Linked DNA regions of Lonchura striata. The protein of the gene in region 1 interacts with the protein of each later gene in a pairwise test. Links are inferred from orthologs where the notes say so. Each region holds a gene or a part of one and is shown in the gene's direction. Other genes may lie near its edges. The genes, in order: ZNRF1 and ubiquitin-conjugating enzyme E2 E2.

Region 1 (16,633 bases):
ACTGCTCCTCCCAACAGGAGCATTTTCTAAAAAAACTGTGATTTTCGTTAAGTATCAGTATTCACTTCCAACAATTTAATCACCCTCTTCAAGAATCTGAAAAGAAAAAACAAGGATCTAGGATTGAAAACAACACCATTTCTGAAACAACAGTTTAGGAGTCCCCAAAAATGTGCTTGAACCACAGGGCAGACACAGCCAAGCATAGCAAAAGAACTTGCTCAAGCTCTTTTGGAAAGAAGCTAAACACAAGGACAGATTCCTCTCTGCCTGTACCACTTCCAATTAACAGAAGATGCTGCTGGCAAACAGGATGGCAGCCTTTTATATCCTTTTTCCATCCACAGGGATGCAGAAGGGGAAGACCCTTGGGCTGTTTACAACACAGTGAAATGGCTTGAAAGGTGGTATTTTTGATCCAAACTGAAAAAGCCGCCTGATCTCATCTTGGGGATTCCTCAACCAGTGTGTGTCAGCAACTATGTTTAAATCTTCATTGTATCTTTGTTTATAAATAGAAGCAGCAAGGTTTGATGCCAGCTACACCGCGTTTCAATGTGGAACAACTGTTCCACACTGAATCCATTCAGAGCAGCAAGAGGCAGGAGTGCTCAGATGGGTGAGATGGGCACAGCTCCCTTTTGCAGCAGGATCCTGCTCAGATCAGCATGAACTCATCACTGGATATTGTCTTCAGAGTGTGTTTGAAAATAAGCTTTTCTGCTCCACTTGTGGCCTGCCCAGTGCACTTCCTTACTTGGTTTTGGTTTCTACAGACTGTACCCCGAAGTGGCAATGAAGGACACCTTTTTGCCAGTTTTACTAACTCTCTGCTCAGAAGCAGACTGTTGCTGAAGGCACCTTTAAGACATCAGTCATGTGTCAGAGCTGAAAAGTGACAGGCTGGGGAATGTCAGAGAGCAAACAGGGTCCCAGCTGACAGCACCAGTCCACTTTTAAAACTGCCTTTAATTAAAAACAGCAAATCCAGGAAGCAAAAGGAACAAAAATCCTAAGAAATCACCTCCAACTAGGTGTTTCTCAAAAGAATAGATGGAGAGATTTCTCCATCCCTAGCTAATCCAGGACTCTCAGGTTATAAAAGCAGACAGCACAGCAGAAAAGGCAGCTCACTCTGGAAACAGTCTGCACCTGGCTGGTGCCAGTTGCCACGGTGCTGTGGGTGATGGCCGAGATTTCCATTGGCAGAGCTCAGAGCCTGGGGTGAACAAGCTGCAGAGCATGACAGACCAAGTACAGAGCAGAGCTGAAAACTGCACTCAGTCTCACACAGCTATTACTGCTTCTTCAGCCCAACCCACTGCCTCATGGAACTCCTCACTCATACAGTCCATACCCAGCTGCAAACCCCAAGCTACAAGCCAGTATTGACCTGTGCTATTTACAGACTGCCTGGTGCACCACAGCCAAGCAGCAAGGTAGGGAGGTGAAAACAAAACAGCAAAGAGCAAGAAATTCAAGAAGTGCACAAATCTCAGACTAGAAATCAGAAAGAGAGCACTTCCCTCCAGAAAAGAACCATGTGGATGCTTGATTTATTTGGCAAAGCATTTTGTAAATGACAAGCAAGCAAAACTAGATGCAACTAATAACTGAGAGCCATCCAGCAGAACACCTCGCTGGCAGTAAATCAGAGTTAGGCCTTGATCTTGCAATGTGACTTGCAGAAGTATGTCTGTGCCAGCTCCACACAGCCTTCCAGCTCTGCAGAGGCTCACCCATGAAAGAAAGACCAGGGAAAACGATGAGTTACAGCTTTTAAAACGAGTGAACTTACTGAAGCTGCAAAGTAGTAGGCGTAGCTGTCATGGGGGTTCCACTGCACCGCCCCAATGTCCCACTTGCTCTGCCGGGAGATCTTCCGGTGACCCTCGTTTGGTGCATCCAGGTTGACGATGTAGAGGAAACGGCGGCTGCAAGACACACAGACACAAAGGGGCTGCGTCTCACAGGACTGACCTCAAAACCCCAAGCTCACACGGAGATTACAGCCTTGTGTCTAGAGGCACAAGAAGCGAAAATGAAGCATTTCATGAGACAAGTGAAAACACTATACCTGAAAATAGTGACTACATTCGACTACCTACTTCAAAATATACTTAAAAAAAACCCACGACCCCCCAACAAAGACAAGACACGCTGAAAATAAACAGGATCTGCAAATGTCAGATACCTTACACCGCAGAAAAACCCAGACAACTTGGATACAAAAGGAAGCTCTGGAAAATGGTGCAAACACATTCAAACAGGCTTTGCAGGCCTAATGCTGCAGCAGTAGAGCCTAAGTGGCACATGCTTGGGAGTGCAATTCAACAGCTTCAGCCTGAATAGGTTGCTCTGAGCAAGAGTTAATGAGCCTTGACAAAGATTCTACGTGGGTGCTTCTTTCCACACCAGTCTGAGGGCTTGGTTCCACCAACAGTACAGAAACACCTGCACAGAGCTCATGTTCAGCTGCAGCAGTTTGTTAACGTGGGTGGACACAGTCCTGCACAGATTTGGTTCCATTACTTACCTGAGCTAACTCTATTTGCAGCAGAAATAATTCTGCGTGGTGGCAAACCTGAGCTTATACATCATGCTGGATGTGGCCAACTCCCCACAAAGCAAGGTATCATTCTGTGTGATTCATCTTACAAGCAAGAGAAACTGCCCAGAAATAATTGTGAGCTAGCTGAACCCTATGGAGGACCAGCATCAAAACATAATGAACCCTACATAATTACCCACATGAGCATCATCTCTCAGCTGCAAAGTGACCATACAGCTGCTCTGAGCACTGGCCATTCCTCCTGTTACTCCTGTGCAGCACTGCCAGACTAAGGGTTGACATGGAAGCAAGCACTGCTTCAACCTGTACCAAAGGCCTCGGTTCCTTGAAGGCTGACCACAGATCAGCTACACTCACAAGATTCTGAAATGAACATCTTAATTGGTGTGTCAATTGTGTCACTGACAGGGGGACAGGAATAGCTGTTAGTACTGAAAAGCATGAGCTGGAAAGGCACCGATGAGCTGGTTGAAGACTTGTTCTGGAGGTGGATACATAAGACCACACTCTCCCAGAAACTTGGGCAACTTGGAAGTCTGTGGCACCTACTGTGTCTGTGAGTATCATCCCACACTGAACCAGCAGAGAAGCAGGTCAGACAGCCCCGTGGGAATATTTGACACAAGTTTTGTTAGGAAATAATCTAATTGTATTTCAAGACAATCCAAATAGTACTTCATGATGCTCCATCTCCTATATGGGGATTTGGGAAGGAATTTACCAAGAAAGCCACACCAGTGTTTTATTGTGCTCTTGTTGCTGTCTCAAATCTGTATCCCATAGGGAACATGACCCAGAATCAGTTTCATTAAACCTTGAACAGAATGCAGCTGCACCTTTCTGAAACAATCCATCAACCCTCCAGCTAAGGTCAGCCTAAAGGCTGCTGGTCTGGCTTGTGGAAATGACTGTCACACTTCCAACAGGGACTGTCACACTCACCCCGAGAGCACAGCACGCTGTCCCAGGCAATCCACTGACATCGCAGTCGCCTGTTCAAGAGAAACACAGAACAAAATTAAATCATACCTGTCAGAGCAGCTGCTCAGTCAAACAAATGGCTCTAGGGAGGAGTTCAGGAAAGTAACATCCCCTTAAAGTAGCACAGAGGGGCAGCGGGTGTAGTGATTGATTCTGGGATGCAGGACAGCACACAGAAACATCTCTTAGCATCAACTGAAAACAAAACCTGGCAGACAACATCATGAGCACTAAGACCTTGCTCCCTTCTCCCTGCCATGGCAATCACAGCTGCAGCCTTTCCATCAGCAATCTCTAATAATCTGTATTAATCAGCCTCTGCTCCTGCTCAGGAGCTTTCTCAGTCTCTTTCATTGCAGGGACAGATTTCATTATATATGTACTGGGAGACAGAAGTGCAACCATTTGTGTATGGCTGGTCTCCAAAAAGGAGAGGTGGCCAAGAGGCATCAGAATTGACTTGACATTGCTTGTAAAGAAGGCTATGAGATAACTTAAAGGACATTAGGAAAAAAAAAAAATAAAAGGACTGTTTGGATATTGTCTCACCCTCTTTTTGTGCAGAATGAACTGATCTTGTTTAAATGCCAAGAGAATAAAGGAAGACTTTACTTGGAAAGCTGAACAGTTCAGCCCATAAACATAGATATGACTGCAATAGAGTTTTGAGCATTCACAGTGCAAAAATGAGAATATGCCCCACATTCTTCACACTAACTGCTGTCATCTTCAAAGCCACCTCTCTGAAGGCTCAGGATGTTATCTCCTGCTGCTGTTCAGGATTTTAAGTGCTCTCAGCATGGATGTAACAAGACTTCAGGATGTCCCACAGTTACTACTTACAAGCATTACTAAAACCTGACAGACAACACAGAACTACCACACCATTTCAGTCAGATCTGACAGATCCATCACAAATTCTGAGCTTTTTCAGCCAGGGCCCATCCCCTCCTTGCAAATACCCCAAGTGAGGGTAAAACAGCATCAAGGACCCATTCTTCTCTAGAGACCACATGTCAAACAGCTACTGCTGCCTGCAGAGCTTCTGCAGGAGCTCATGGTAAACCAAACCCTATTTCTCCACTTTTACTGTTCCAGGAACAGCTCCCTTTCATTACTTTTTCCCTAGGCAGCAAATCCAATCTTCTAGCAAGGTCTCCCCAGTCCTAAAGCTAATGTTGTAAATAAACAGCTAGTTTTAAGATCTCTAAATGATAAGGAAATAATTCCAGCTTTCTAGACTCCACAGCACCTTGCAAAACACAGAATAAAACCTGCAAAAAGTAGGTTACTGAATCTATAGTAAAAAAAAACCCAAAAAACAAAAAACAACTAACCAAACAAAACAAATTATCTGAAGAAAGAAATTTGCCCAGATGGTACACATTTTTCTTCTGAGAAATTAAAATGCAGATCACTAAAGCCACTACAATAATCAGAGTTTCTCATGTGATAAAGAGCTCGTCAGGAGAAATATTTCATACAGTTGGAGCCATCTTTCTCAAGACAGAAAAAAAAAAAGATTGATAATTTCCTATACAAGTTTATTTTTTCTAGTCTTAGCACCAGGATCTCCTAAGTCCTTACAAATTGTTTTCAATAATGAACACTGGTAAACTGTTTCTTCCAGGCACCAAGCATCATAAAATAATCAGAATGATGTAAAAAGTTTCACATGTCAGGCTGCTACTCTGATGGGTCACAAATTAAGTTGTTTTACAGCAACAAACAGTTCCCCATGATACAAGAGCCTTATCTAGGCACAGGAAAAAAAAACAAACTGCTGTCATTTAATGCACTTGGTATAGTGATATGTCAGTCTTCACAGCACAACTTTCCAGAAGGGGGGAGTTGAAACTGAACAAACCAACCCGAAAGCAGTTTTTGTCCTAAAACAACACTGTGGATAGCTAAAACTGCTGTTCATGAAAAACAATGACATCAGTAAGCACAGCAGGAGCACTACACGTTTGAGAACCTGCTCTGAACCCACAGTCCAGGCAGCATCTTCTCAGACTTTGAGCATCTACTTTTGCATTTTGCTTGATTTCTGCCAGGCAAGCCAAGGGAAACTCCTTTTCATGTCTGAACTTTCATTAGTTTTCAAATTAGCTTCATTCTCTCCACCTGAGAGGCAACACACCAACCCAATTTGACATAGCTATGGTGGTGTTTTTCAAGAGCTGCAAACTCTTAACAAGCAATACCAATTCCCTGCATACCTAACCTCCCATCCACACGAAGTTGGTACAAATGGTTCCATTTCAGCACTGGGTGAGTTTTGGTCTCCTTTTGATAGTGCAAACAGCCCAAGAAGAGCCTGTGGATCCTGTTCAAATCAATACACAGAGTGCTACCTCTGTCAGCTTGTACAGAAAAATGACACTTGTAGGTACCACAGGCCTCAAAACACACAGTGATTTTCTGATGTGCTACAGGTTGGGTGCTGTAGCTTTCGCATGACACACTCTAGCATGGTGAACAAAGACAACTGCAGGGCTCCCAGAGGTGTACTGGCTATAAATGTAACACCTGCCCACTCTTTTGATTCTTGTTTCCATTTAAGTTGTTCTTAGGGTAGAGATTTTGGAGATAGTGTGGCCTACACACAGAGCTCAAGACTGGTACTGGATGATTTCAGCCAAGGTGCTCCAAATTCTCAAGCTCAGGCTTCCCACCTGCAAAAATGTTTTTGCAGACTGCTTAAAAATAAGCTCAGACACAAATATATAAATGAGTTTAGCCTGAAGCAGCAGCCTGGCAGCCCAAGCCACAGCAGCGCTCTGGTTTCATATGGGATAGCAGGCAGGTCAGAACAGCTCCAGGAAGATCACACCAGAGTAAAGCAAAGTGACTGAAACCCCCAGGCTCACCCTCTGCCAAGGCTTGTGCCAGTGCAGGAATGACACTGAAACCAACTGCTGCAGCATGGGGTGGCAACACCTGTCCCTTCTGCTCCCACACAGCAGACATTATGAGTAAGCAATAAAGTCATGAGGCCTCCTGTCTTCTGAGCCAGATGCAACATGAATCTGTGATGTAGGAAGATGTACCCTCATATCTCATTACTGGTTTCCTGAGGACAAATCCTCAGTAGCAGACAAGGCTGCTTTAATGCTTCTGGGAGGAAAACTAATACAAAGCTTTTGAGGCACAAAAGTGAAAAGCTTTGTGAGCTTACATAGGGTAGGCTGGATGCAGAACACAGGATTCAAATCTTCTGTTTGCAATGGAGAAGGCAGAGCCCTTACTGCTCCAGCACAAGAAGACAAATGAGACAAAACAGCTTCCAGACCTATTTTTTTTAATCTTTCTGGCTTTCCTGCTGAAGTATCTCATAGTTCCCCCACTGTATCTAGTTTTGTTAAGCTATTGCCAACACCATAAGACCCTCACATTTCTTAGAACATAATCATAGAATCCTAGAATGCCTTGGGTTGGAAGGGACATTAAATATAATTTTGCTCCAAATCCCTCTCACGGACAGGAACACCTTCACTAGGCTGCTTCAAGCCCTGTCCAGCCTAGCCATGAACACTTCCAAGAATGTAAGAACAACTTCTACAACAGCATGTGAGCAAACAAACTCTGAGCGGAGTTCTACTATCACCATCAGCTTCAAAAACAAAAGCCGACCTTTTTACCATTTACAAAAAAAAAAAAAAAATACAAGCCACTTTTTATTTTAATCAACAACACTCAGCAATTTATTTGTCAGTGAGACAGCAGTAACAGTCTCCGTGAAAAGTGACAGAAGCATAGACCGGTTTGGGTTGGAAGAGACCTTAAAGCTCCTCTCATTCGAACCCCCTGCCACACGCAGGCATCTTTCACCAGCCCAGGCTGCTCAGGGCCCCATCCGCGCTGGCCTTGAGCTCCTCCAGCAAAAGGAAATGAGGAAAGACGTGTGGGAAGTGGCAATATCGTATGTTAGGCCTGAAAGTGCATTTTAAAAAAATACAAGACCTAATTAAGATTAGAAATTAAGTGTCCCGTGAATTAAGGCGTTATCTCCGCGCAAACGACTCCGGACCGCCTCAGCCCCGAAAGGCCCCGCGGGGCCGCCGCGCCCTCCCGGGCCGGGACCTCCCCCCGCTCCGCTCGTCACGGGCCGGCAGGGGGCTGCCCCCGCGGCGCGGTGCTGCGGCAGCCCCCGGGCCCTCCGACCTGGGCGTCGCGGAACTCCACCACCACATTCTCGCTGCTCCAGCGCGCCGCCATCTTGGGCCGCCTCGGCGGAGCCTGCGCCGCGCCTGCGCATTGCGGCGCGCTGTGCGGGGACTGCTGGGAGATGTAGTCCCGCCGCTCACCACCCCCCCCCCCCCCCACCTCCCCCGGCCCGGTGAACACGGGCAGCGAGTCCCGTGGAGCCGGTGGGGGTCCCACGGCCCGAGGGGGGAGTCCCCGTGCGGGCCCGGCCTCTCCGGACGGGCTCTGGCCGCAGAGGCCCGGGGGTGGTCGCAGCCCCGCTATAGAGCAAGATATGTGCGTGGCGTGGGTCGAGGGTTGTGCTCCGCGGGGCAGCACCCGCTCGTCGGTGCGGCGGCGGCTCCGCGTCCCGCGGCGGCGGCGAGCGCAGCGCCGGGCGGCGGCGGCGCAGGGGTTAAGGGCGGCGGGCCGGGGGGGCCGGGGGCGGGAGCATGCGTGCTGCCGGCCGCTATTGTCTCCGGCGCGGCGCCCAGCACCAGGCGGCGGCCGCAGCGAGGCCGTGCCCGGCGCAGCGCAGCGGAGCGGGGCGCGCCGCCCCCGCCGCCCCCGCCGCCCATGGGCCGCAGCTGATCCGCGCCCGGCTCCCGGCCGCGCCCCGGGCACCAGCGAGGCGGGCGGAGCGACCCTGCCGGCGTCCACCCCCCCCTCCCCCGCCGCTCCCTCCCCGCTCCGCGGCCCCGGAGCCCTCGGCGGCCTCCGCCGGGGGTGACGGCGGTGGCGGCGGCGGACTCGGGGCGCCCTCGCCCCTGCGGGCCCGGCGGGGGGAGGATGCCTGGGGCGGGGATGGGTTTTCGCCCGTAGCTCCCCGCGCCCCCCCGCTTCCTTCCGCCCCCTCTCGCCTCCCAGCGGGGGCGGCGCGGCCCCGTTCCCCGCGGGGGGCTGTCGCTCGGCTCCCTCCGGCCCGGCGGTGCCCACATGGGGGGCAAGCAGAGCACGGCGACCCGCTCGCGGGGCCCCTTCCCGGGGGTGTCGACGGATGACAGCGCCGTGCCGCCGCCGGGAGGAGGGGGGGGGCCGCCCCCCTTCGGCCATTACCGGGCGGGCGGCGGCGGCGGCGCGATGGGGCTGCGCAGCCGCTCCGTCAGCTCGGTGGCCGGGATGGGCATGGACCCGGCGGCGGCCGGCGCCGTCCCCTTCGGGCTGTACGCGGCGGCGGCACGGGCGGCGGGGGAGGCCGAGCGGGCCCCGGGCGGCGGCGGCGGCGGTCCGGGCTCCGACTCCACGTACGCCCATGGCAACGGTTTCCAGGAGACGGGAGGCGGTCACCATAGAGACGGGATGCTGTACCTGGGCGCCAGGGCCTCGCTGGCCGACGCGCTGCCCCTTCACATCGCGCCGCGGTGGTTCAGCTCGCACAGCGGTGAGTGCCGGCTCCCCGAAGCCTTCCCTCGGCTTCCCCTCCCTCCGTGGGTGCTCGGGGGCGGCGGTGGGTGCGGTTCAGCCGGGAACGGGGAGCTGACCCCCTCCTGGACCCTCATCCCCATCCCCTCCCTGGCACAGACAAGTGGGTGCATGCTGGAGCTGGCATCTGTGTCAAGGTCAAGGGAGGAAGGGGCTGTGAAGGGAGGAGGCTTTCTAGAAGGGAGGTGTTTTGGCTCTGGGATATGAAGCAGTGGATGTGGCACCCCCACCCCATCTTCCCTTGACTTGGAGGATAGTGGTCTTGAGGGTGCTGTAGCTCAAGACCTTGAGTTTTGCAACCAGGCTGAGCACCCTGTGTCTCTTCTGAAGGTGTGTGAGGGCTGCCAGTCAGTTGTAACAGTTCCCAGCCTTAGAAATTGGGAAAGAATTAGAGAAGGCCTTTGAAAACAAGGTGCGGGGATCTTTTTTTTTTCCATTGTTTTGTCTGTTAAAGGGCCAGGGAAAGGCCAAAGTGGGTTTTCTCTTTCGAGCCAGCTGGCAGTGTTGTGGTGCTTAGGAGGAAGCAGAGGAGGAACTGCCTGCCTCTTTGACAGGGCTGGGGGGCCAGCTGGGCTGTCTTGCAGGAAACGTGTCAGGCTATGGGAAGGGGCAAGGTTGCCCCCTTCACCCTCCTGGCCGGACTCTTCCATGTGTGCTGGTGTCTGGAGAGGAGCTCTTGCTGCAAGCAAGGCTGTGTCACTGACCCAGTTTTGGTTGGGTACAGGGAGCGAGGTGGGAGGTCCTCCCTTCCCCTCCTGGCTGGAGGGGAAGTAATTTCAGAGATGTCTCCTTGTGTTTCCTGGAATAGTCTGGGATTTCTCTCCCACCCGTCCCCCTAGCAAACGCTGTGCTCTCCTTGTGTGACGTGGTCTGGGAATTTCATAATACGCCTTGGGACAATGCCTCATTTTCAGGAAGGCCTGTGACCAAAGCAGTGGGTAAGAACAAAGTGCAAGAAGAGTCTCGTGGGGCCCATTTTCCTACTTCTTGGGGAAAAAAAAAAAAATCTTGGGATTTTTTTCCCTTTGCCCATTCTCCAGGGGCTGCTCTTCTCTGTTAGATGGAAGCTGTGTGTCTTGCATTGCCCCAGGTCTTATTCCTATTGATCTGGATAAGGCAGGCGCTTGCCATCCTCCCTGGCAGATGGAGAGGGCTGGCATGTGGTACCAGAGTTGAGACCAAGTGCTCCTGCAAACTTCCTTGCTCCATGACCTTGCACAGACTGTGCTGCTGCTCTGGTTTCTAAATGTAGAGAGAGATGAAGGCACAGCATCCTTCCAGGTATTCCACAAGCCTCTCTGGGAATGAGGGCCATGGGGGCTTCTGCTGTGCCTGGTGCTGGTGTGGGGAGGGTCTCATTACAGAAACACCCTGCAGCTCACAATGGTTTGTCAGAGAGTATCAGTTACATTTTAAACTTCAATTCTGAGGGGCAAAAACCTGTTCAGAAAAAAAAAAAAAAAAACAGCTGGAAAATGGACAAAATGGAGTAAGCTGTTTTTCAGCCACTTAAGTGAGTTAGTGCAGTGCTGCGAAGTTAAACACGGTGCCCTTGAAAGATTGCAGCGTGAGCTGTGGGAAGTGCTGCAAGAACTGGGTTTCTCTGGTGCCTCTTTTGGGGCCCTCTGAGAGCATTTGAGCTGAGCTGAAGCGTGTGCGGGCAGCAGCGAGAGCTGTTCAGTCTGTACCAAAGCCTCTCCCGGTGGTGGTTCTTTGTTGCTAATTAACAGCAAAAAGGAGTGGAGGATGCTTAAAAACCCTTTTGAAAACTTGTCAGAGCTCATTTAACTTTTGCACTCTTCTTCTCTTAGTGTAAGAAGTTAATGAAGGATTTGGAGACTGCAGGGAAGGGGGGAAGTAAGCCACCGCAAGATTGCTGAAATTCCTGTTAAACTCCCGTTGCAGCTGGTTAACCTCCAGCAGGGCAGTCAGGAGCTGCTTGCGTCTTCCCCCCTGCCTCCCCATCGACCTGCTCCTCTCGTGGTGCTGAGCCACTCCATTAGCCACTGGAAAGTGCTGAAGCAGCAGTGCTCTGGTAAATGGAGAGGAGCTTTGACATTGCTGCGCGTGACTGTCCCTGCTGCCTTTGAAGGATGACTCGAGGGTGGGGATGAGGGGACCTGCCCCTGAGGATGAGGGGCTGAGTGGGTACCAAACCCACTCAGCATGATGCATGGCATCTCTGGGATCTGCCTGAGCTGCTGTACTACTGAGGAGAGGATAAACTCTGTAGATAATGTGGCTGGAGAGTGGATTCTTGCCCTGCCTGTCCCTTTCTGGAGATCTGCATGGTGCCATTCTCTGTGAGTGGGTTGCATTCATGTTTTTCTGGGTTTGGGGGATGAGCTGGGAGCTCAAAGTGCAACCTGATCTCTGTGAGCTACTCAGTGGGACAGCGAGGAGCTCTGACTTGAGGGCAGTGATAAGGTGCTGTTGTTGCAGCAGAGTGCCTGTGATAACAGGAGCACACAGATAGTCTTGGCGCCTCGCTGCTTCCTATATCTGCCATGCAGAGTTTTCTGCCTCTCCAGCCTGCTTCATGGCTCATCAGGCCCCTCAGCAGGGATCCTGAGGAATGAGCTGGGGCAGGCTGAGTTCTCTTCCCTGGTTGGTGTCACTCCTTCCCCTCCCTACAGGTGAAGGCCTGCAGAAGAGCTAGGTGTGCCTGGGGAAGAAGAGAGGAGGATTGTGCTGAGGATTGTACAGAGGGAGGTTGCAAAGTAGTCCCCAAAACCAGTGAATGCTACAGCATCCCTTTAAGGTGCTGTGCATGGGACTGGTCAGTAAGAAGAGCCCACTGCTGAATCCCTCTGGGCTGGACTATGGCTGCTGGGATGCCTAAATTGGAGGAGCAGTTGGATACTGATGGCCTCTAGCCTGTCCCAGGGCGAGCGCAGGAGAGCTGCTGCTCTTGTGAACAGTGAAGCCTATGTATATCTTCCAAATGGGGTGGGCAAGAAGGTCTGATGGTGGAGCTTGTCCCTTCCTTTGAGTGGACAGCACCTCTGTGGATGAGTCCTGTTTCCTGATGGGGATTTTCCCAAGGCATGACTGCCATATACACAAGCAATGTAACTGTTCTGGGATTCCCCTGTCTGCCCAGGGTTTCTGAGATCTATTTCTTGACCTCCATAAGTGGAAAAGACACATCTTGCACAACTTTGGAGTTTGCCTGTAGCACTTGACTCTGCCTCTTCAGTTTTATGACTATTTAGGAGTTCTCAGTAAAGCCAAGGCTGGCGAGAAGAAAGGAGAAAAGGGAGATGTGTAGTTTAGTTCTGCATGTTTCCAGCTTTGTGGGTTCTCTTAGTATCTCTCATGTTATTCATCAGAGGATCTAAGGGAGTTTGCATAGGCTGTAAGTAGCTTAAAGTTTATCTGGAAATCCCACTCATCACCCAAAGCCCTTGAGTGTTTGAAGCTCTAATAAATCCATATCTCCTTGTCTGCTGGCTAGCCCAAGGAAGCGCTTAGCTTATCCTCCTGTGCAGTGCCACCAGGAATGTCACAGGCTTTCTGTGCACTGACAAAGCAAGCTGTTTTTCCTGGATGTTGGTAGTACCAATGTCAGGAGGCCTTTGCCAAATGAGCTGCTGTGTTCTCAGCAAGCTGAGAAGAGGCCTGTCTGTGGTGAACCCTCGCTGTGCTCCGACAGCTTTAAGTCCTGAGCTTTTTCTCACTAGTGCCTGGCAATCCTTGCTCTTCAGATAGTCCTGCCATTGAAGCCTCTACACCAGAATGAGAAGGCTGAATTGTAGCTCGCTAGTCAGCTGCTCTCAGCCCTGGCTGTCCTGACACCAACTTGTCACCAGTGTGTTCTGGCAGCCAAAATGAGCCCACCGTGTCCCATGGTGTATCAGGCACAGCACTGCCAGCTGGTCAGGGGAGGTGATCATCCTGCTCTGCACTGCTGTGGCCTCACTCCGAGTCTGGTGTGCAGATTTAGGTACCACAATACAAGAAGGATATAAAGCTGAGAGAGAGCATCCAGAGGTGGGACGTGAAGATAGTGAAGTGTCTAGAGGGGAAGCCATATGAGGAGCAGCTGAGGTCACTTGGCTTGTTCTACCTGGGGAAGAAACTGAGGACAGAGCTCATTATGGGCTGCAGCTTCCACTGGAGGGTCAGCACCAATCTCTGCTTTCTATGACCAGTGGCAGGATCCAAGGGAGCATCATGGAGCTGTGCTAAGGGAGGTTTACATAGGATGTTGGAAAAGGTTTTTCCCCCAAAGTGTGGGTGGGCACTGGAAAGCTCCCCATAGAGCAGCAAATCTGACAGAGTTCAGAAAGTATTTGTACAAGGCTCTCAGGCACATGGTGTGATTCTTGGGGTTGTCCTGTTCAGGGCCAGGAGTTGGACTTGATGATCCTTGTGGTTCCCTTCCAACTGAATCTCTGTTTCAACATGCAGACAGGCATCATATGTGCTTCCCTCCCCACTTCCAGGAGCTAGGCCAGGGGAAGGGCACCCCAAGGTCTGCATGAACTTGCCATTCTGAATCTATTTTTGCTAGTGGAAATTTCCAAAGATGACTATCCTCAAACCATCTTTTTGTGGGTTTGGTGCTGGTTACTGTCTGACAGCCGGGTCAAGCACCTGCACCACTGCCAGACCTGTGGATCATTTGGGAAGTGGGTACAGAAACGGTCCTGATGACTCCCCACACTGGTGATGTTCAGCTGTTGGGCTCTCCAGGTCTGGAGGTGATGCTTTTCTGCTTCTGCCTTCTCTGAGCCAGCTGCCAGGGCAGCATCCACCTGGGATGGGGGAAGAGGCAGTGGCTACCTCAGAAGAGCAAAGTGCTAAACACCTGAAGATGGGAGACTCAAAGGCAGCTTTAATGCACACCAGAGCTGGAGATGAAGTTTAAGTACGTCGACGTTGGCGTTGTGCGTGAGAAGCCGGCGGTGGCGGCAGTTATCTTCAGTCTCTGCAGCGAGAGCGAGTGCAGGCTGTCTCTGCGCTGCCTTGCCTCCCCAGTGCCCTCTGAAAGCCCGACTGCTTTCCTCAGGAACGAGGGCACTAATTCCTGTGCACATTAACCAGGCTCTCTGCTCTATAAACCTGTGCATAAATCAGCATAGGGTAGCTGGGTGCGCTCTCCCTTTTCCACACATGTGTCTTCTAGAGATGCTGAGAATGATGCTCTCGTGCTTCTGGGCTGACCCACTTCCCAGCCAGGATTGTCTTCCCAGCCTGTGACGTAAGTTTATCCCATGCTGGTTTGTTTTGCTGAGATGTTTGTTCCGGTGACTGGAATAACCGTAAAGGCTTCTCTTATTTATTAATGTGCTATTAAAGCTTCTCTCTCCTCTCTCTCTCGTTCACTGGCCAGAGGATCAATCAGATACAGACATCTTTGGTGGAGGAGCAGTATCAGGTTGGCGCCTGGCCAAGGCAGCTGCACAGAGTCATGGGAAAGTGCTGCTAAACGCTGAAAATTAATTTCAAGAGAAGCGCAGGGAGGGAGAAAAGCCCACTTCGGAGGAGGAGAAAGAAAAGCTTTTTTTCCCCTCCCCTCCAATGTAATATCTCATGTGACAGATCAGACAGGCAGCAAAGGGCTCTTCAGATAAATTCCCTGTGCAAGGACAAGCCTTGTGGTGCCCCAAGCAGATGGTGGGCAACCACGAGGTGCATTTCGTGGCATCTGCTGCTGGTACACCAAAACCCCAGATGTGCTGAGTACTTGGTTTTGAGTAAATGTGAGCTGGCTTTCTCCTGGTTCCCTTGAAAACTGAAATCATAAGGGCTTGGGAATGATGTGCATGAGCAGCCAAGTGATGCTGTAAAGCAGCAGGCCCTGATGCAGAGCACTTTGCCCATCTCCTTTGGCCTGGCTGTACAGTGGGGTACAACAAGCCTCCCTCTGTAGGACACCCTTTTTTTATTTCGGATAGAGCACTACTAGTTAAAACTGGGCCTTAAATGTCCTCCCTGCACTAGTTCCACCAGGCAGGTTTCAAATGCAGGTGAACCCACTGGGGGCTTGAGTACCCCCCCCTCCCCCATGTGTACCCCCCAGCTCCTGCTGTCCCTTGCAGGTGCTGCGTGGCTGAATGCTTTAGCTTAGTGCTTTTTGATGGGAGGTTGTTGGAGGTGCAGCTTCAGGAAGCTCTGCTGCCTGGGGCCTCTTCTCGTGCTGCTGCACAGCATTTCCCGTGGGCAGAGCCCAGCTGTTGGCAGGTTTCCTGCCCTGCTGGGCTGCAGGCAGGGAAGGGGAGTGCCTGTGGTGGGGGACAGGGTCTGCTTCTCTCCTGTCATGGTTTAACTTTTCAGCCCACTGCAGGTCCATACACTCTGGGATTTGAGGAAGGTGGAAGGAAGGGCCAGAGAAGCAGCAGGCAGATCTTCATGGCTGATTTCTGTGCTGCTGGCAGGGGGCTTGATACATTGGTGCTCTCTGGTGTGGTCCTGTGCCTCCACTGCCAGGTTTGTGCCATGTGCCACCAGCTGAACCCAAGCAGATGCATCACTCAGACCCAACACTGGGTCTGTGGGCAGCTGGGGGTGTTCCATCCAGGGTGTATTTTGCCAGTGGGAATGGTACCTCACCATTGGAGAGGCTGTACTGCACTTCTGAGGTGAAGTTGATTCTTCTCTCCCCTCTTTCCCTATAGACCAGAGCTGCCTGGCATCAGCACCAGGTTAGCCCTGGTGGTGTCCTGGGCTGAATGAGCTTGGGAAATTTGTGACTCCCTGTGCTCCTGCACACTCATGTAGCTGTGGGGTTCCCATCAGTGGCATGAAATTAGACTGTGTGCCTTGGAACGGTCTTGTGGCACTTTGTAGAGAAGCAGGGAGATGCTGTAGAAATATTTACCCTTTTGCTAGTTTTAGCAACGCTAGCAGAAATTTCCCAGGGTTGTATATTCCCAGTTAGTGCCCTTGGTTAATTGAGTTTATGTCAAGTTATGTCCATAGTTCCAGAGAGACTGTCACCTGCCAGGCACAGAAGAGGGGCTGGGACAGATCCTGTGAGGGAAGCACAGCAGCACAGATGAAGAATGGAACTGAAAGCTGCTCAGAGCAGTTTCCTGGCCCAAGCATGCAGGACAGCATGACAACAGTGGGTATTTTTAGAGGCCAGCTGCCTGCAACAAAGAGGGGGAAAGCAGCAGTCAGGCAGGAGAACTCAATGATGCTGACCCTGTCCCACATCCCTGCCCAACATTTTATTTCCTTCCAGGATGAGGCCACTGGCATTTCCATGTCCTCTGTGTCTCTTTGCCTATTGCTGCCTTAAAAGACAGGTCTCTTCCTTCTCCCCTTGGCTTTCACCATTGCTCAGAGTTTCTCTGATCACAGCTCAGTGATTTGAGAGTGATGCCAGGGGCTCTGTTCTTCACATCCTGGATGCTGCATTACAGCTTGAGGTGGTGGGCGTTTGGGGGATTGTTTTTTGGAGAAGCCTTTGTCACCAGTGAGGGGGAAAAGCTGCAGTTTCTCCTGCAGCTGGGGTAATTG
Region 2 (16,092 bases), on another chromosome or scaffold:
AGATTCTATGTTTTAACAGAAAAGACCATTCTTACTCCACGACATTCATAACAAAATCTGATGCCACATAAAACACCAGTTTAGAGTTTCATTGTAAGTTTAAAACTAGTTCATTTTTAGAAAAAGCCTTACTGTGACATTCATTAAATTTTCACTTAATCTATATACTGTTTGGAGCAAACTTGCCTATAGATATGTTTTGGTGATCAAACTACATTAAGTTAATTAAACCACATCATCCAAGCTTTGACGCTTCTAAGTCAGTTTTGGTTTGCATTTTGAGTTCCAGACCAAAGCCACAGTTGAGGGAAAGAACTGTTATGAATCAGAATAAAGAAAATGCTCATGGCACAGTTTTCTATTTTCTCTATAAAATTAAAGAGCGCTTTAAGCCTTCCTTCAGAAATAGAGTAAAGCTGAAGTCTCCTGTCAGAAAGCGTGCCCTTGTTAGACTTTCAAAACAGAGACAGGTTTTAAGGAGCACATTCCCTATGGTACATTTAGGACCGTTTTATTAAAATACATACACGGCAAATAATGTATGGCAACACTAAAGAGGGTTTTATAGTGGCAATTAGGATTTTATCCAAAGTCCATTAATGGCAATAGAAATGTTTCCATTTATTTTCAAGGAGTTTGCAGTAGGTCCACATGAAAAAAAGTACACTGGTCTCTTAGTCTATCCTAGTTCACCCAGGTGAGAGGAAACCTGTGTCTGATTCACATGCCTCCCTTACCTTCTGGGCTGTTACCAATGGATTTTTAATTACCAGTAATGGGCAGACCATTATATTTAAATTACCATCCAATTTCTGGTCCATTGTTTCAGATCTGTGGGCTCTGTGAGCAGATGCCGAGGCAGCTGTGCAGCTCAGAGCTTCCATGGCATTTCACCTCAAGAGAGATGTAGCACAGCAAGCCATTTAGCTGGCATCCCCCGCCACCGGGAACTTTGGTCCGGTAACACAGTGCAATCCAAGCTGTGACATGCAGGAGGGAAAAGCTATTATTGAATCCCTTCCAAAACCAAATTATATCTCCCATTGTCTCAAAGGAATAATAAACCCTGGCTGGCTGATTGTGGAATATAATAATAATCTAGCTGAATTAGTGGGCATTCCTGGGAGTGACTGATTTCTGCATTTTCCCGAGAACGTTATTCTTTTTTTTAAAGATAATAATTCTTCTCAGGAAAACAGGATTTATGTATACATAATATATAGAAACTAAATTAAAAAAAATTAGAAATGTTATGCTCAGAATCATACTCCTCATGTGTCCACAAAAAATAAAGTGCTCTTAGCAGAAATACATGGCTGTTGAAAGTGGTTTTACTGACATAGCATCAGGGCACCTGCCAGCCCAATTCTCCTTATTCAGCCTTCCCTGGGGATTCCCCACCCTGCCATGTGGTCCATGTGAGATTCCTAGGACTGTCAGCTTCATCCCAAGGGAGGTTCCCAGTATCCAGGACAGAGCATAGCGCACTGTATTAGAAGGAATTTCAAACAAAAATGTCTTCATTGAGACTGATCATTCACCCATCTGTTTGTCCCACTTTGTCTGAACTGGATACTTGAAAACCTCACTAGTGCATCAGCACACAATTGCAGGGCATGTTTGAATCAGTAACACACAATTAGTTATTTTAATGTATTTTTCCAGTTAGTGGTGGATTGTGGTGTTTCCTCGGTTTAAATAAGTCATACCTTTGATCTCAAGAGTAGAAAGCCAGCCTTGTTGTCATCAAGCAATTTAACACCTATTTGTGATCCCAACAACCATGATTCACAAGCTAAAGATCCTGTAATTTTGCCTGCAGATGTTGTCCCAGCAGAGCAAGCATTCCCATTTTCACCAAAGCACGGGAAGAAGTACCTCTACAAAATGTGAAGTGGTTAGAGCTTTGACTGTGGATGTCAGAGACACAAGCAAAAGACACTTGTTTTCCTGGAGGGACTCTTAATCTCATATTGCTACCTTCAAAACATGCAGTGGTGTGGGAAGGGGACAGGGGACTTCCAATCTCTCTTGCTAATGCTGTTCCATTTTGAACGGGATCATTAAATATTAAAAGAGTGAAAGATCAAAAGATAGAGAATGACTTTTAGCCTGTTTGTTAGGCATCTCACGTTTTCCGTTCCAACCCAGTGAAGATGTAGGTACATTTTAGAGAGAAGAGACACAATGAGAGATAACAAATAAGCCAAGCACCAAAATGCTGTAGTGTTTAGGACACAATTATGAGTTATAAACTGCAGGGGTTTTGTCCTTTCAGGCAGCAGACAGAATTAAATTTCTACTTCCCACATTATCAGTGATGCCTCTGTCAGCAGGTTGGGCAGGCTAGAAAGAGGAGATCATTAACTCATTGGTGACACTGACACCATGATCCAACGAACTCAACTAATGTACCTGTAGTTAAAGCCCCAATGAGAGGTGTGTACCCACAGTTGTGGAAGACTCTATGTCATTGTCATCTCTCCCTGCCACTTCCTGATGACTAGGTTAAGTGGATAACTACTCAGCCAAATATTTGAGGACCTCCTCTCCCTAAATATCTAGCTCTGCTTATCTATCTCCCTTGAAATGTGTGGCCTTCCCTGAGAACTGTGTACTTCACTAGCTTTTACAGCATCAATAGATAGAAATTGCAACAGATATCAAATTGCCTTGGTGGGCCTAGTCCTCAGCCATGCTATGAGTTCCAGTTCCAAAAATTTGTCAAACACAGGAAAAAGAGACAAAGAGAAACTGTGCTGGATTCTCTAATTACTTTCCACTTTTTCAAATTACCTGGAAAACACAAGAAACATGCACTTTGCAAAGGTAGAAATGCCTATGTAAGATGCAAAGCTGGTCTAAATAAGGGTTCACTTGGATTAAAATATAGGAATAAATACAGCTATAGAGGCTCTCAACTGAGTTATGACGTCAAGCAAAATTCCTTCAAATACCCATTATGACAAGATAAAGATATCTGAGAGTCCACTTTTGTGCAGCTCAGGGCTCTGAACCGTGGTAAGGACACAGGAAGAAAGTCTGCTTCCTTAGGGAGTAGATATGTGTTCCTGTCTTGTGCTTTCCGGCTTCCTAAAATAAATGTTTGCTTCACCTGTGTCCTCTTCACTGCATCTCCATAACTTTGCAGTCATGGGAACAGTTCTGAGGTAATTAAGAGAGTATGTCCCTACCCTGAAGTTGCTGCACCCACTGCTTGCTTTGTTTCATGCAGTTGAGGAAGATGAGCACTTGCTCTTTTGATTCCTGCTCCCTGAAGTTCTACAGATGTAGCTTACGGAAGAGTAGACAGAAGTTTGCCAGGTTCTGCCTAGACCTATGGGCAAGATATTCCATTTATTCCCTGCCATAGTTACCACCAAGGATGAGACTAAAGATATTTGACTTTTTCTTCTTTTCTTCATCCTCAGACTTAGGCCCTGGCAGCTGCTTTATTGGCACCAGTTGTGTATAAGAGTCCATAAAGCAGAAGGAATAATTTAGGTTTATCAAGCTGCAGACATTCCCCTTCATCCCTTCCAATTACAGCAGAGATCAGGCTCTTTGGCTGGGATTTTCAGGAAGCAAGTACAAAATGTGACTAGTCTGACTTATTAGTTCAGGGGACTTCCACTTCACTGGGGGAATCCCCGGTAGAGAACATGCGGGTATTTTCCACCGTATACGAGGCAGACAATCTGCTTCAGATTGATTGTGGTCCTCTGGGTTCCTGAAATTTATTTGGTCACTCTTATTGAAGGGACTGAACAAGCCTGCTTATGGGGTTTGGTTTGCTGTGGAGGATGCAGAGCCTACTCCCTAGGCATGCATTAATAATGCATTAAACATAGAGAACATTAGCCCACATTCTTCTGGAACCTTAACTTTATTAAAAGGGAACATGAGTGCCCACGGCTTCTTTTTCAGTGTAAAGATGTAACTTTCCCAACAGAACCACAAGAGATCCTCAGAATTTTACCCATCTTTAATCAGAAAACCAAGCTCTGATTCTGTGAATTAAGATATTACGAAACCAACAGAAAATAATAGGAACGCGGAGGTGCTGAAGAGAGTGTGGAAGTAACAACTAAAACACCCCAATTTTCTTTTCTAACCTATCTTCACTTTTCAACATTCTCTCCCACATATGGTGATGAATTAAGACAGGCAATGCAGGGAATTCTTCCAGTTACAGGTCAGTGCATTACAATAGCTCTGGAAATAAAGATTTTTCCCTTCAGTACATGCAATATGAGATTTTTAAAGCAGTGGCTATGTCTAGGATTTAGTTGTCAACAATTTCTGTGTAGAAACTATCACAGAATTATCCTATGCAATTACTTGCACTTAGGCTCTAACTGAGGCTCTAAACCAGCACATAGAAACGAACCTCTGTTCAGGACATTATGCAGTTAATTTATTCCCTCCCTACCTTAAACAAAAATACAGGCTTTCATTAAGGACACGGAAGCAGGTTATTACCTCCCTCCTACCCACTCCTAATATGTTTTATCTTTATTCTTTACAATCCTGGATAGCAAAGCAGCTGAGAGCCACCAGGATTTCTGATGCCACACGGTTATTGTCTCAGTTGTTTGTTCTGGTTCCAGCCGAATGATAGTGGGAGCTGTTCTGCTTCTGAGCAAAGGGGAGGAGGAGCTGCAAATTCTTCGTTTTTTAGGCTGGAATGAAAGAGACCTTAAAAGCTGTTTGCCACACAACTTACAACTCCTTTTGTATTTAATGGCCTGGAAATATTAGAGTGAATAAATGCTAATGATTTGGGGGTTTGCAGTATTGTAGAGCAAATAAAGAAGTCAGGCTAGCAGTAACTTGCCTCTGTGTTCACACAATCATTTTACTTCAGAATGCCATGAAAATAATTTAAACAGACTTCTGTCAAGGCATTGTTTGAACAATAGGCTTACTTAGTTTTCAGGATTCAATCAATGTTTTCCTTGATATAGGATGCCATTTTTTATATGATGAGGACATACACAATTAACTGAAAACTCTTAAGTAAATTTCTGCTGCAGATATCTTCCTTGCTATGCCACTTTATTCTACACGCTGATAGAAGAGAAACAAAAAGAAGAATCCTTATCTCTGAATCACTCAGAAACTGCATTTTCAAACACAGCTGGCACTTCAGAGATCAGGGTACCTGTGAATTTCAGTTTACATTTGCCAACAGACAGAGTAGGATTCATCCATGCAGCAACAAAAGCAAAGTACAATTGTAGAAAAAAAAAAAAATAGATATAGTGTGAGAATAAACTATCTACAAATAGGAGAAAGAGAATTACCAAAGAGGGAAAAATAGACAACAGGCTAGATCCTCTGAATGGTCCTCACAGATTTATGTCATCATAGTAGTTTAAGGAAAACCAGCTATGGGAGAAGAATCCTGGAACAGCATGAAGCTACTGCAGAAACTCCTCATTCTGTGCTCAGGATGGAGAACCAGACTGGGAAAGAGAGGACCTGCTGCTGAGAGCTGCCTGCTGTCCACTATCCAAACAGCCCCACAGGGCCCAACTCCTAGCAGGGGAGGGATGGGGGGAACAACACAGGCTTCAACAGCTGGAGCTGGAATCAGGTAAGAAATGAATAAAGGCACCTTTGTCCCCATTCCTCCAAACTTCTGCTGATAATAGTTCAGATGGATTAAACAAACTGGCTCATTAGGACTTGGCTGAAAAAGATTGATGTAACAATCAGACACATCATGGACAAGTTAATATTATCATCTCACTTTTTAATATAAAATAATAAAGTTTTGAAAGAGAGATATGCTGTCACAAGAGAGATAGTTATGTCTTCACCTATACCACAGCTGAGATGATTTCTCATCTTTTCTCTACCTTAGAAAATCAAACCCTTTTTTCTAGTTACTACTTGACAATAGCGTTCATTCAATGACTTTAACAGTGATATAAAAACATGTCCTTTTAAATGGGAATGAACAGTAATGCATAAATAGAAATGCAGAAAAAACTCAAAAGTTGCATTTTCCTATTTCTTTTCTTGACATGGAACGATATTTCCCTGTTTTTTTAACTAAACAGAAATGGATAAGACTCACTGTAACTGAGTACAGCTCTCAGTATAGCAAAAAAAAGTTTAAAAACCTGAAAAATTTAAATAGATCTATTACTTCTTTAAATTAAACACTTCTAAATGGAAACTTTGCTCAGGTTTCTCCAACTTCATAGATTTTGACTGACATATCTGCCCTTGTAACAGACACTCAAATCAAGAACCCTTAACAAAAGTGTCCTTAACCATAATAGTTTTAAAGCATGACTGCCTGTGCTAGGTGAGATGAACTCTGGCGTGTCTCCACAAGGAAGCTCCCAGTCTCTATGAGAGTAAAGAACTCATGTTGCTTGCTTTAGATGTGTCTGGTGGTGTAAATAGTGTCAGCTTTTAGAAACCAGACAAAGCCAAACATGGAGGGAAAAAAAAAAAAAGTGTAACTGTGTGCCTTAGCACTCCAGCATGGGTGAAATCTAACACTGAAGTATTGCCACTCACTTCAAAAGGGCCAGAATTCAACCTATAGAATCCAAATTTAGAAAAGTCTTCAAAAGATTTTGAGCAATATTATGCCACCTTTAACATCTGAGGGCAAAACACGTTATTTTGAAAGGTCAAAAGGATAAAAGCGGGAGCAGCTGACTACCCTGCCCTACTCTCTTTACACTACATAGGTAGGGCTCATTCAAAACCTCTGCTTTTAAAACAGGGCACACCTCAGTGTGTATTTTCTATTCATAAGGCAGTACAAACCTGCCTAGTTTAGTTGTCCTTAAATTAAGCCCTACCATTCAGGGCTCTGGGCCAGAGGTCAAACACCAAAAGAAGAAATCAGGGCCTGACTCGTGATGACTCAAACCTCTCACTCGGTGCTCAAACACTCCAGCGCTCCCTTGATTATTTTGGCATTGGGAAATTATGACCCAGATTCTGGGACACTGTATGGCCCCATCCTGCCCCTGTCTCAATTAGGCTATTCACTCAGCTTTTCTCTCTGTGCTTCCTGCAAATCCTAGCAGAAAAGATCTGTAATGAAGCACCATGAACTGCCACCAAAGAGAGACCTCCTGAGATGGGCTGAGGAGTTAAGACAGATCAATGTATGCCTCCTTTTAAGGCACCCTTAAGCCATCAGAGCAACATTAAGGAAGTATGGTTAGAAGAATCATTTAGAATTGAATTTTATCACTTCCTGGATAGCTTTCAGGGGGTCTGTTTTCAAATGACTGAAAGGAGAAAGCATGGTTTAAGTGATTTTAGAAAAGGGAACCATGATGTCAAAAGTGTACAATGCACCTTTCAGCACAATGAGTAACATTACTTGCTGGAGGTTTGCATTTTTTGAAGGACTTTTGCACTTCATATTCTATTAATTACTTAATTATTAATTCTTCCGAGAAGTCAATGTATGCTTAGCAGATAGAAACCCACCTAGATGACATTAGGAGCTTTTCTCCATCACAAGCAAGAAAATATCTTGTAAATGCACACGGAATAGGAAGAACTAGCTGACTGTGGTATTTTTAGGTTTAGGTGAAAATAACACTGGGATTATTTAGCAAAGAAATAGGAAGAGGAAATAAACCAAATAATTTAAAAACAATTTCTCAACAAAGAAAATTGTTGATGTTCAGGGTAACTGCAGAAATCACTTCAGTTATCTGGATATAATACGAGAGCAGGTATCAATGATGTTTCTAACCCTAATATATCTCAGTAATGCTTCAAGTTCTCAACTTCTGTATGTTTGGTGGCACAGGCTCCACCTACACCTCAAGCATAAGTCAATAAAAATACAACGCTTCGCAGTTCAAGCAGGGAAAAACTTTTCCTCCTACATGTGGAATGGTGAGAACACATTTTATTTTTTTAATCCCCTTTAGTTGTTGTTATGTGTAACATAGATAATTTGTGCCTGTAGAATGATAATGATGTAATGTTTTGTATTATTTAAAAAAGCATACCAGCCGGTACTAGGGGGTTTGCCTCACATATGTTGAATCTGTCTCTGATAAGACCTCATTACAAGTTAATACATGTAGTTCATCTGGAGATGGGTTGTTTCTCAACGTAATCCAGGAAATCCCGAGTGATGATGGTCCCAACAACAACCCAAGACTGCAATCACTGGAACCACCCAAAAGGATACATCTCAATACCATGTTCCCTTCCTGGACACCGAATTGTTCAACTCAGCATAGAGAAAAGAGACTTTATGAATATGTGGGACTTTGAATGGAAAGAAAAGGCTGATCACTGAAATCCTGGCCTCGAGCAAAATAAACCATATAAAAGTTGCTCGCACAGAACAGGTGGTGCGAAACATAGGGGGATCCTCTGCTGTAGCGGTCAGCACCACTTCCCAGCTGTCTGACCCAGCGCCGATCCCGGGCTCGGCACTGTCCGTTTCTTTGTGGCTGGCTCAGACAGATTTCAATTGCTAAATAAAATCAATTTTTATTTTTAATTCGGCTGGATTAATTTTTTATCTATAGCAGTTATTAAAAAAGGGAAAACATTTTGACTTGGCAATACCTCTTTACCCTTGGCTGGTAGATTTCCCTGTTTAAGGAAGAAAGGTTTGAGGTGATAGTTTACATAACATACCTAAGCATATTATGTAAAGATTAAAGCAGCAGGGTCGGCACAGGGACAGAAGTGTCTCACTCGCCCAGCGCAGTCCGGGTTACCTGACAATCAGTTCTGCTGGAGGTTTGTTTTGTTCCAGGTTAATATTCGCACTAAACAACTAACATTTAAGTGCGGCTCTGCCTTGGCCTCTCCCATTCCTGACCGCGATGCTTTCCACAGAGGCAATGCCCGCCTGCGTGGGAGGTGAGGTTCATTTACCTGGCCACAATCGGGCGACAGCGCCTATCTCCAGCCGGGATACCGCACGTCACCGGGGCCGCCGGCGGCCCGGGGCGGTTTGTGCCCCGGGCTGTGCTGATGCCACGGCGGACAAAACTAGCGCGGTAACACAGAGTGTGGCCACCAAGTGCCGAGGCCCGGGCCCTCCCGCAGGCCGGCCGAGGCACCGCGTGCCCCGCACCGCCCCTCCCCAGGTACCGCGCCGCTCCCCGCCCGGGGCAGCGCCGCGTCCCGCCGGCGGCTCCCTCCGGCTCCGCCGAGACAAAGGCGCTGGGGAGCTGCGGGCCGCCGGGACCGGGGAGGGGGCGGCGGAGGGGGCCGAGGGGAACAAAGGAGCCGAAAAAGACGAGAAGAGCCGAGAAAGTTGATGCCGGCCTCCGCCGCTCCCTGCCCTGTCCCGGCCTGCCCCTTCCACCTCCCGGACTTTCGCGTGGGGGCCCACGGCAGCCCGGCGGCGGCAGGGAAAAAGGCCGGGTACCCTCACCTCCATCCCCCCCGAATCCCTGGCCAAAGGTCCCGGCTCACCCCATCCCCTCCCGCCGCCTCCTCCTCCTTCTTCCTCTGCCCCGCTGACCCCGCCCAGCCCCCGGTGCTTCCCTTTAACGCGCGCTCCCGCCGCCGCCTCTTGCCCCTCCCCCCTGCCCGGCGGCGCGCGGCCTCCGCCGGCCCCCGCGGACGCGCGCCCGCCCGCGCGCCCATCCCGTCACTTCCCCCCCCGCTCCCCCGCCGAGGCCGCGCGCGCCCCCGCCCTCCCGCCCCTCCCTCGGCGGCCCGCGAGCGCCCGGAATAATTGGCTGGCGGGCGCGCGCGCGCGCGGCGCCGGGCGGACGGGTGGGGGCGCGCGCGCGCGCGGAGGCGGCGGCGGGGGTGCGCGCGCGCGCGCGGCAGCGGCTTCACTTCTCTCCGGGCAGCGGGGGCAGGAGCGGCGGCGGAGGGAGAAGCAGCCGCGGCCGTCGCTGCTGCTCGGGAGAGACGGCAAAGGGGAGAGGAAGCCGAGAGCGAGGAGCGCGGGGCAGCGGGCTCATGACTCACTGAGCGGCTGCAGCCCCTTTCCAGCCCCGCGCCCGGCCGGAGTCGGGGCGCCCGCGACGGATTGTCCCGCAGCCTGTGCCCGGCACCAGCGAGAGAGAGACCTGCGCTCGCCTGCAGGTAGCAGCGGCTTCCCCCCCGTCTCTGCCGGGGTACACCTACCTCTGCCCCGCCTGAGCTCCCCGTCCTCCTCCCCTCCCCCCGCCGGGCTCCTACCCCCATGTCGCTCGCCATCCCTCCCCCACGGCAGCACCCTCTCCCCCGCATTTATCTGCGATCCTCGGTCTCTACCTTTATCCTTCATCTTCCCTCCCTTCTCCGCATCCCCCTGGTGCTGCCTGGTACCCCCTTGCCCCCCTTGTCATCCTCGGCTGTGCCCTTTCCTAGCAACCGTCCCGGCCGCCCCCCCCGCCGCCCCCGGCCACCTCGGCATCTCTGGAGGCGCTCCTCGCTCCCCCAGGCTCCATCCAGCCTCCATTGCTCCTCAGCACCCCCACACCCTTTCAGCAACTCTTCCGTGTCCATTTGTCCTGCTCGCCCTGCTGCGGGCGGGAGCGGCGACCACCCCCGCTCCCCACCACCCCTCCGGCCCCGCTCCGCATGGTCCCCGCGGCACTCTCTGCGCCCCTGGGGGGCCGGGGTACCCCCTGCCCCCCACCACGATCGAGCCTCCTGGGATGCGCTACCCCCACGCCCCCCGCCGCAGCGGTGGGCACCCCGGGCTGGAGCCCCCCGGGAAGGGCACTACCCCCCCCACCCCCGCGCCCCAAGGAGCCCCGCAGCCCAGCCCTCTCCCTTCTCGCATGTGCCCCCGACGTCTTCCTCTCGCAGTCTCCTCCTCCTCCTCTCCTCGGTTGTCTCCTACTTCTCACCCTAGCCCGGCCGCCGCCCGCGCGGCCGTGGGAGTGCGGGGGGTGCGTGGTTCTGGGGATGCTCGCGGCCCCCACCCGCTGCCTACGGCGGGGGATTCCCGACGGGAGAGTCGCTCCCGTGCCCACGCGCGGCCGTGGGAGCCCGGAGCTGCCGTCCTGTCCCATCCCATCCTTCCGGGTGCCCTTCTCAGCGGCGAACACACCGGGCTCTTTCTGCCTCCCGTCCCGCGATGCTGTGGTCTTGCCCTTTATGGTTTCTAATGAAGATGAAGTAAGGCGGCTGCTGCCATTGCTGCTCGTGGTGGACCCTGCAGAAATACTCAATTTATCTTGGCTTATAGGAAATTACGAGCGCTTTAGAAAGACATCATCACTAGCTCTGCCGCCCTTGGGACCCATCTGCACGTTGCCAGGATCTTGCTGTTCCCGACTGGTGGATTTTTTTTTTTTTTTCCTGGCGTGTGATATCTGATAATGACTGGTGGTTTGGGGTATTTTTGTCTTTTCTTTTTTGTTGTTGTTTTTGGTTTGTTTGTTTTTATTGTTGGTTTGTTATTGTTGTTGGTTTGTCTGTTTTTATTGTTGTTTTTTTTTTTTTTTTTTTTTTTAGTTTGAGGAGGAAAGGGAAGGTGCCCGTGGATATATTTGACAAAAGCAAAATATTTTGGATGCCCTTCACTTTGAATTGATAGTTGTAGTTACACTTGTAATCTGTCTCGGTGCTGATTCATCTCACGTTAAGGGAGAGACTTTTAAGTCCCCTTTCATTCCTTCCTCTGTCCCCTCTGCTCATTTTTCTCTGCACAACAGCAGGGAGGTTAGCAACCCTTGTCTGAATGTAGAATAGCCTGGCAGCCAGGAACCTGGACATCGTGTGTCTTTCCTCTTGCCCTGTGTGACAGTTGCAAACACACTTATGGCTCTTCAGATTCAAGGATTATCTTGTATTTCTGTCTGTGTTGGTGGCAGTGAAATGTTTTCTTCACAGTGTCATCCTCTCAGTTGACTTTTTTTACCCCAGTCTCTTACTTGGTCATATGTTTATGTGTCTTTTAAGTTTGACCCCATTAGAAATGTTTAATTTCAGGCCCCTTAAAGCATGGTTTTAATGCAATTTTGAGCATCCTTTGAGCAAAACTCCCTAAAATTGCAGGTATTTTGAGGAGAGTGAATAGAAATAATTGCCTGGATGTCAGAAGGGGGAACAGAGACAGAAGGAGAAAGGGGGGAAAAAAACATCCAAAACCCAAATCTCCCCCCCACCCCTGCCAGAAACTAGCCAGACATCAAATGACAGATTTAAACATTTTCCTCTTGTAAATGCTGGTGTTACATGTTACAGTAATTATATGCTCTGGGCTACTGTTACAGTATTTATCTGCTGGATAGTAACCTGAACTTAGGAAGTGAATACAGTTGTTTTTTGGATAATAGTAATATTTGTAGCCAAGATTATTCATAGCAGATGTCCTATGCATATAAGTATTATTAAATATGCTTTTAACTTTCTGGCCTGCAGTGTTGAAGCCTATGTACATTGTGAAGAGAGAAATTTTCTCTTTAAAATTAGATGTATTAAGCAAGGTCAGAAGTAAAATCTAGGGCAAATAAAGGCCAACATAAGTGTTATAAAAAGAGATGAGGTTTATGTAGAAGTCAGGAAAATGGGTACTTACTACCAAAATTGCATTAAAGTTGCATATTTTGACTTGTCAGAATGTGACACTTTTGTTGTTTATTACCTCTAAGCATTCTGCTGCTTTACCTTGAAATCACACAATAGGATTTAAATATCTGAACATCAGTCTGCGTAAATTTATGGACTATGTTAAATGTATTGTTACAGCTGTACTGTAGGAGAAATTGTTCTCTAGGAGTGGACAATTCTTATGTTTTAATTTTAGGGCAGAAATTCTAGATTATTTCAGTTACTTTAATGAGCAGGTTAGGTCTTGTGTGTTTATATATATTTAGATGCAAAAATACTATTTTCTGTTATAAAATCAAAAATGCAGCTTAAGCGATGAAGGGAAACTTTAGTCACATATTCATCACTTGGTATTGCTTGCTGTTTCTTTTAATGCATAAACATTTTGAAGGGGTGCCATACTTCCAGAATTCTTTTTCAGTATAGCTTCACAAGATAGATGAAAAAGACCTAATTCCTCCTGAAGTTAGTTGGATGTGTCAATAATGCCTGAAGAGATTATTTCTTCTGCTCCATAGTGTGTATTATTTGATAGAATTAGATCTTGGCAAGGTTTTTTAGTATAGGAGTAAATTTATTTCTATTTTGTAACAAGAACACTTAGGCCTTTTTAAAAAGCATCCTTTTCAACATAACCCTATTAGCATTGATATTAATTTACTTTTCCTTTGCTGTCTCTTTCCATAAATATGTACAGGGAGATGAACTTTGTTTAATACATAGAACAAGCATGGTTGAATCTGAGCCTGAAATCTCATTATTCTCCCTTGAGCGAGTCTTAAAACACATAATAGTCAAGGTGAATAGGTTTGTTCTTAATTGTGATGATGTCTGTACATAGGTAAGAGGAAAAGCGAGTCGAAGTTCACAGCAATTTGAAACTCTTTGTGTATGAAAGAGCAAATTCTTAGTTCAGACAGATTTGATCAGAAAACCACCCAGATATACAGGGATTGTGTGGGTGTAAGCAAGTTAACATTTGGGCCTGTCTACTTTTTATTAAAAATCTCTAGAGAAGGATATGTAACACAGGTGTATAAGGTACAGATTTGGTGTTAAAGGAAAGACCTGGGTTTCACTTTGGTTTTAATTTGGTTTTGGCTTTGTTGGTTTAGGTTTTTGGGTTTTTTTTTTTGTTTTTTTTTTTTTTTTTTTTTTTTGTTTGTTTGTTTGTTTGTTTTGGTTTTTTTTTTTTTAATCAGTTAGTGCCACCAGATATGCTAATTCAGTAAGAGTTTTTCATGGACATCTGCCCTTCATTAGAACAGTTTGAGAGTTTGAGATGTCATGACAGCTGTAACAGCGGGCTTGTAATTCCTCATCTGTTGGCGTATTGTTATACTATTTAAAATGAAGGAAGAAATTAAAATAGCTAACTAGTATCAGAAGTGTGCAAATAAAGCATCAACTTGACTTCTGAAATATGCTGAGATTTCTTACGGCTCATATTCTCTGACAAGTTTGTTGCCTCATGTTGCCTGAATGAAATGTCAGGAAAAACTTTGTTATATCCTCTACCAATGTGCTCACTATTTTAGTAAATACAAACAGTCCTGTGTTAAAGCTTTTTAGTTCTGTGTTTCCATCAAGCATGCCAAGATGTGGATTTTGTAATGTGGAAACCCACATTGTACACTTGGAATGAGCCCACAAATTTATTTCATATGGGATAACAGAGAGTCCTAAGATACTAATAACTCTCCGTTTTTAGCTAGCTGTGGTAGATATGAACTGGTGGCATAGTTGATGGGACAGCTAACTCATGCCACTGCTGAGTGGTTGAAAAACATAATTCACAGTGAATGGTTTTACACTTTCAGGATTATGTTTCCCACTTAACTTCAGTAACTTCTGGTTTTCATACATATATATATGTGTTTGTGAAGAGTTTGGCAGGGGGATTGGTTTGTGTGTTTGTTTGTATTATTTGTTTGTGGGTTGGTTGGGATTTTTGGGGGGGTGGCAGTGGTATAGGGTTTAAAATTGCCAGTTCCTGAATTATTGTTAAGATGTTTGTGGCAAAAACTCTTCAGTATGAGGATTATTGAACTACTGTGATATAAACATTATTTTGTTAGGACAGAGACATATATCCCATGTGTTCTTTCCTTAAGCATGTAAGAAATACAATGAGGCAGTTGCTCCTCAAAAAACTAACTTCAGTTGTTTGTCTTTGTTCAGTGCAGCATCTGCCATGTCTACAGAGGGGCAGAGAGTGGATGATAGCCCAAGCACTAGTGGAGGTAGCTCTGATGGAGATCAGCGTGAAGGTGCTCAGCAGGAACAAGAAAGGGAGCAAGTTCAACCAAAGAAAAAAGAGGGGAAAATATCAAGCAAAACAGCTGCTAAATTGTCAACTAGCGCTAAAAGGTACGGTGTTCTTCCTGACTGTTTCTTTCTTTCAGCTGGTCATCAGATCCATGTATTGACTCAGTATATTAATTTTCTGATTGTTTTATTATAACACTACTGTATCAGTGTAATAACCTTTTGAGACTGGTCACAATAATGAGACCTGTATACTTTTCCCTTTCTTTGTCCGTTTGCCTCTTTCACATGGTTTTAATAGTTGCTTGCATGATAAAAGCTGACATTTTTTTATTGCTAATAAAACTCAGACAGTTTTGTAGCCTTATAAAATATATCTCTGTATATGTATGTATGACTGATGTTGAAACTTGTCAGTGTAACTTACAGTTAATTAGCCATAAACATTTCAGACAGTTCTGTAACTCAGCATGTTAGGACTACCGTAATACCTATTGCCATGAAGTACTGCCTTTTCTTTTCCCAGATGAGCAGGTCAGAAATACTTGAGTGAACAACAAATGTATGTTGGTTTCATTACTTTAAACTGTGATCTGTTTTAATATCCATTTATTTTCCCTCCCTTTTCTGACTGAGATGAAAGGTTGGTTTGTACAATAGCTGTTTAACTTATTCTATGCTATCATGTCCATCTCCAGATAACGGTTGTCTTGCTTGGACCAGACAGAAGGAATTTACAGTTTAGTGTTTCTTTGCTAGTACATGTAAGGTTGTTACTCTGGGCAAGTGGGATTATAGTGATTGAAGTTAAAAAGCACTCATAAAATAATCTGACAAGAGACCAATTCTGCAGACTGTCCTGATGCAGAATTCCCAGATCTCATTTCTCTGCTAGTCCAAGGCAGTGTAAACTACAAGAGAAAACACTGAAATTGTACCACTGTGGTAAAGGAGAAGCATCAAGCCCCTTCTGCCATAATTTATAACGTATGCATGTAGTCAGAATCTGTATGTAATACTATATAAACATGTGTGTATATCTAGTCAGGATTCAAGTCTTTGTTTTGCCTTAATCTGTCCCTAATCAATTAGACAGGGAAAGTTTCTAAAGTATCTAAAGTACTTTTCTAAAGTATCTTTAGATACTTTAATAAAGATACTAAAGTATCTTTGTCTTTCCAATGAGGTACAGCTATGTCATGCTTTTCTTCTGCTGTAGATTCCTTTCTTACAGCTAGTTTTTCTTCATTTTTAATTCCATGGAGAAATACTTTCTGGACACACATTCCTACTATGTCACTATTA

Evidence for each region.
Region 2: the proteins of ZNRF1 (region 1) and ubiquitin-conjugating enzyme E2 E2 interact in a two-hybrid assay, tested with the Homo sapiens proteins (2 studies listed by BioGRID and IntAct). The link is inferred for Lonchura striata from reciprocal best matches to the Homo sapiens genes ZNRF1 and UBE2E2.

Annotation. Positions count from the first base shown.
Region 1 is NC_134615.1:15,813,328-15,829,960, reverse strand, and holds the start of ZNRF1 (E3 ubiquitin-protein ligase ZNRF1), read left to right. Parts: upstream 1-8,645; 5' UTR 8,646-8,677; coding exon 8,678-9,122; exon of another isoform or gene 9,123-9,139; intron 9,140-16,633. Other genes in the region: GATOR2 complex protein WDR59, read right to left, coding at 1,799-1,934, 3,515-3,564, 7,721-7,774. UniProt on the Homo sapiens protein: E3 ubiquitin-protein ligase that plays a role in different processes including cell differentiation, receptor recycling or regulation of inflammation. Mediates the ubiquitination of AKT1 and GLUL, thereby playing a role in neuron cells differentiation.
Region 2 is NC_134603.1:119,105,955-119,122,046, reverse strand, and holds the start of ubiquitin-conjugating enzyme E2 E2, read left to right. Parts: upstream 1-9,770; 5' UTR 9,771-10,059; intron 10,060-14,700; exon of another isoform or gene 14,701-14,705; 5' UTR 14,706-14,713; coding exon 14,714-14,889; intron 14,890-16,092.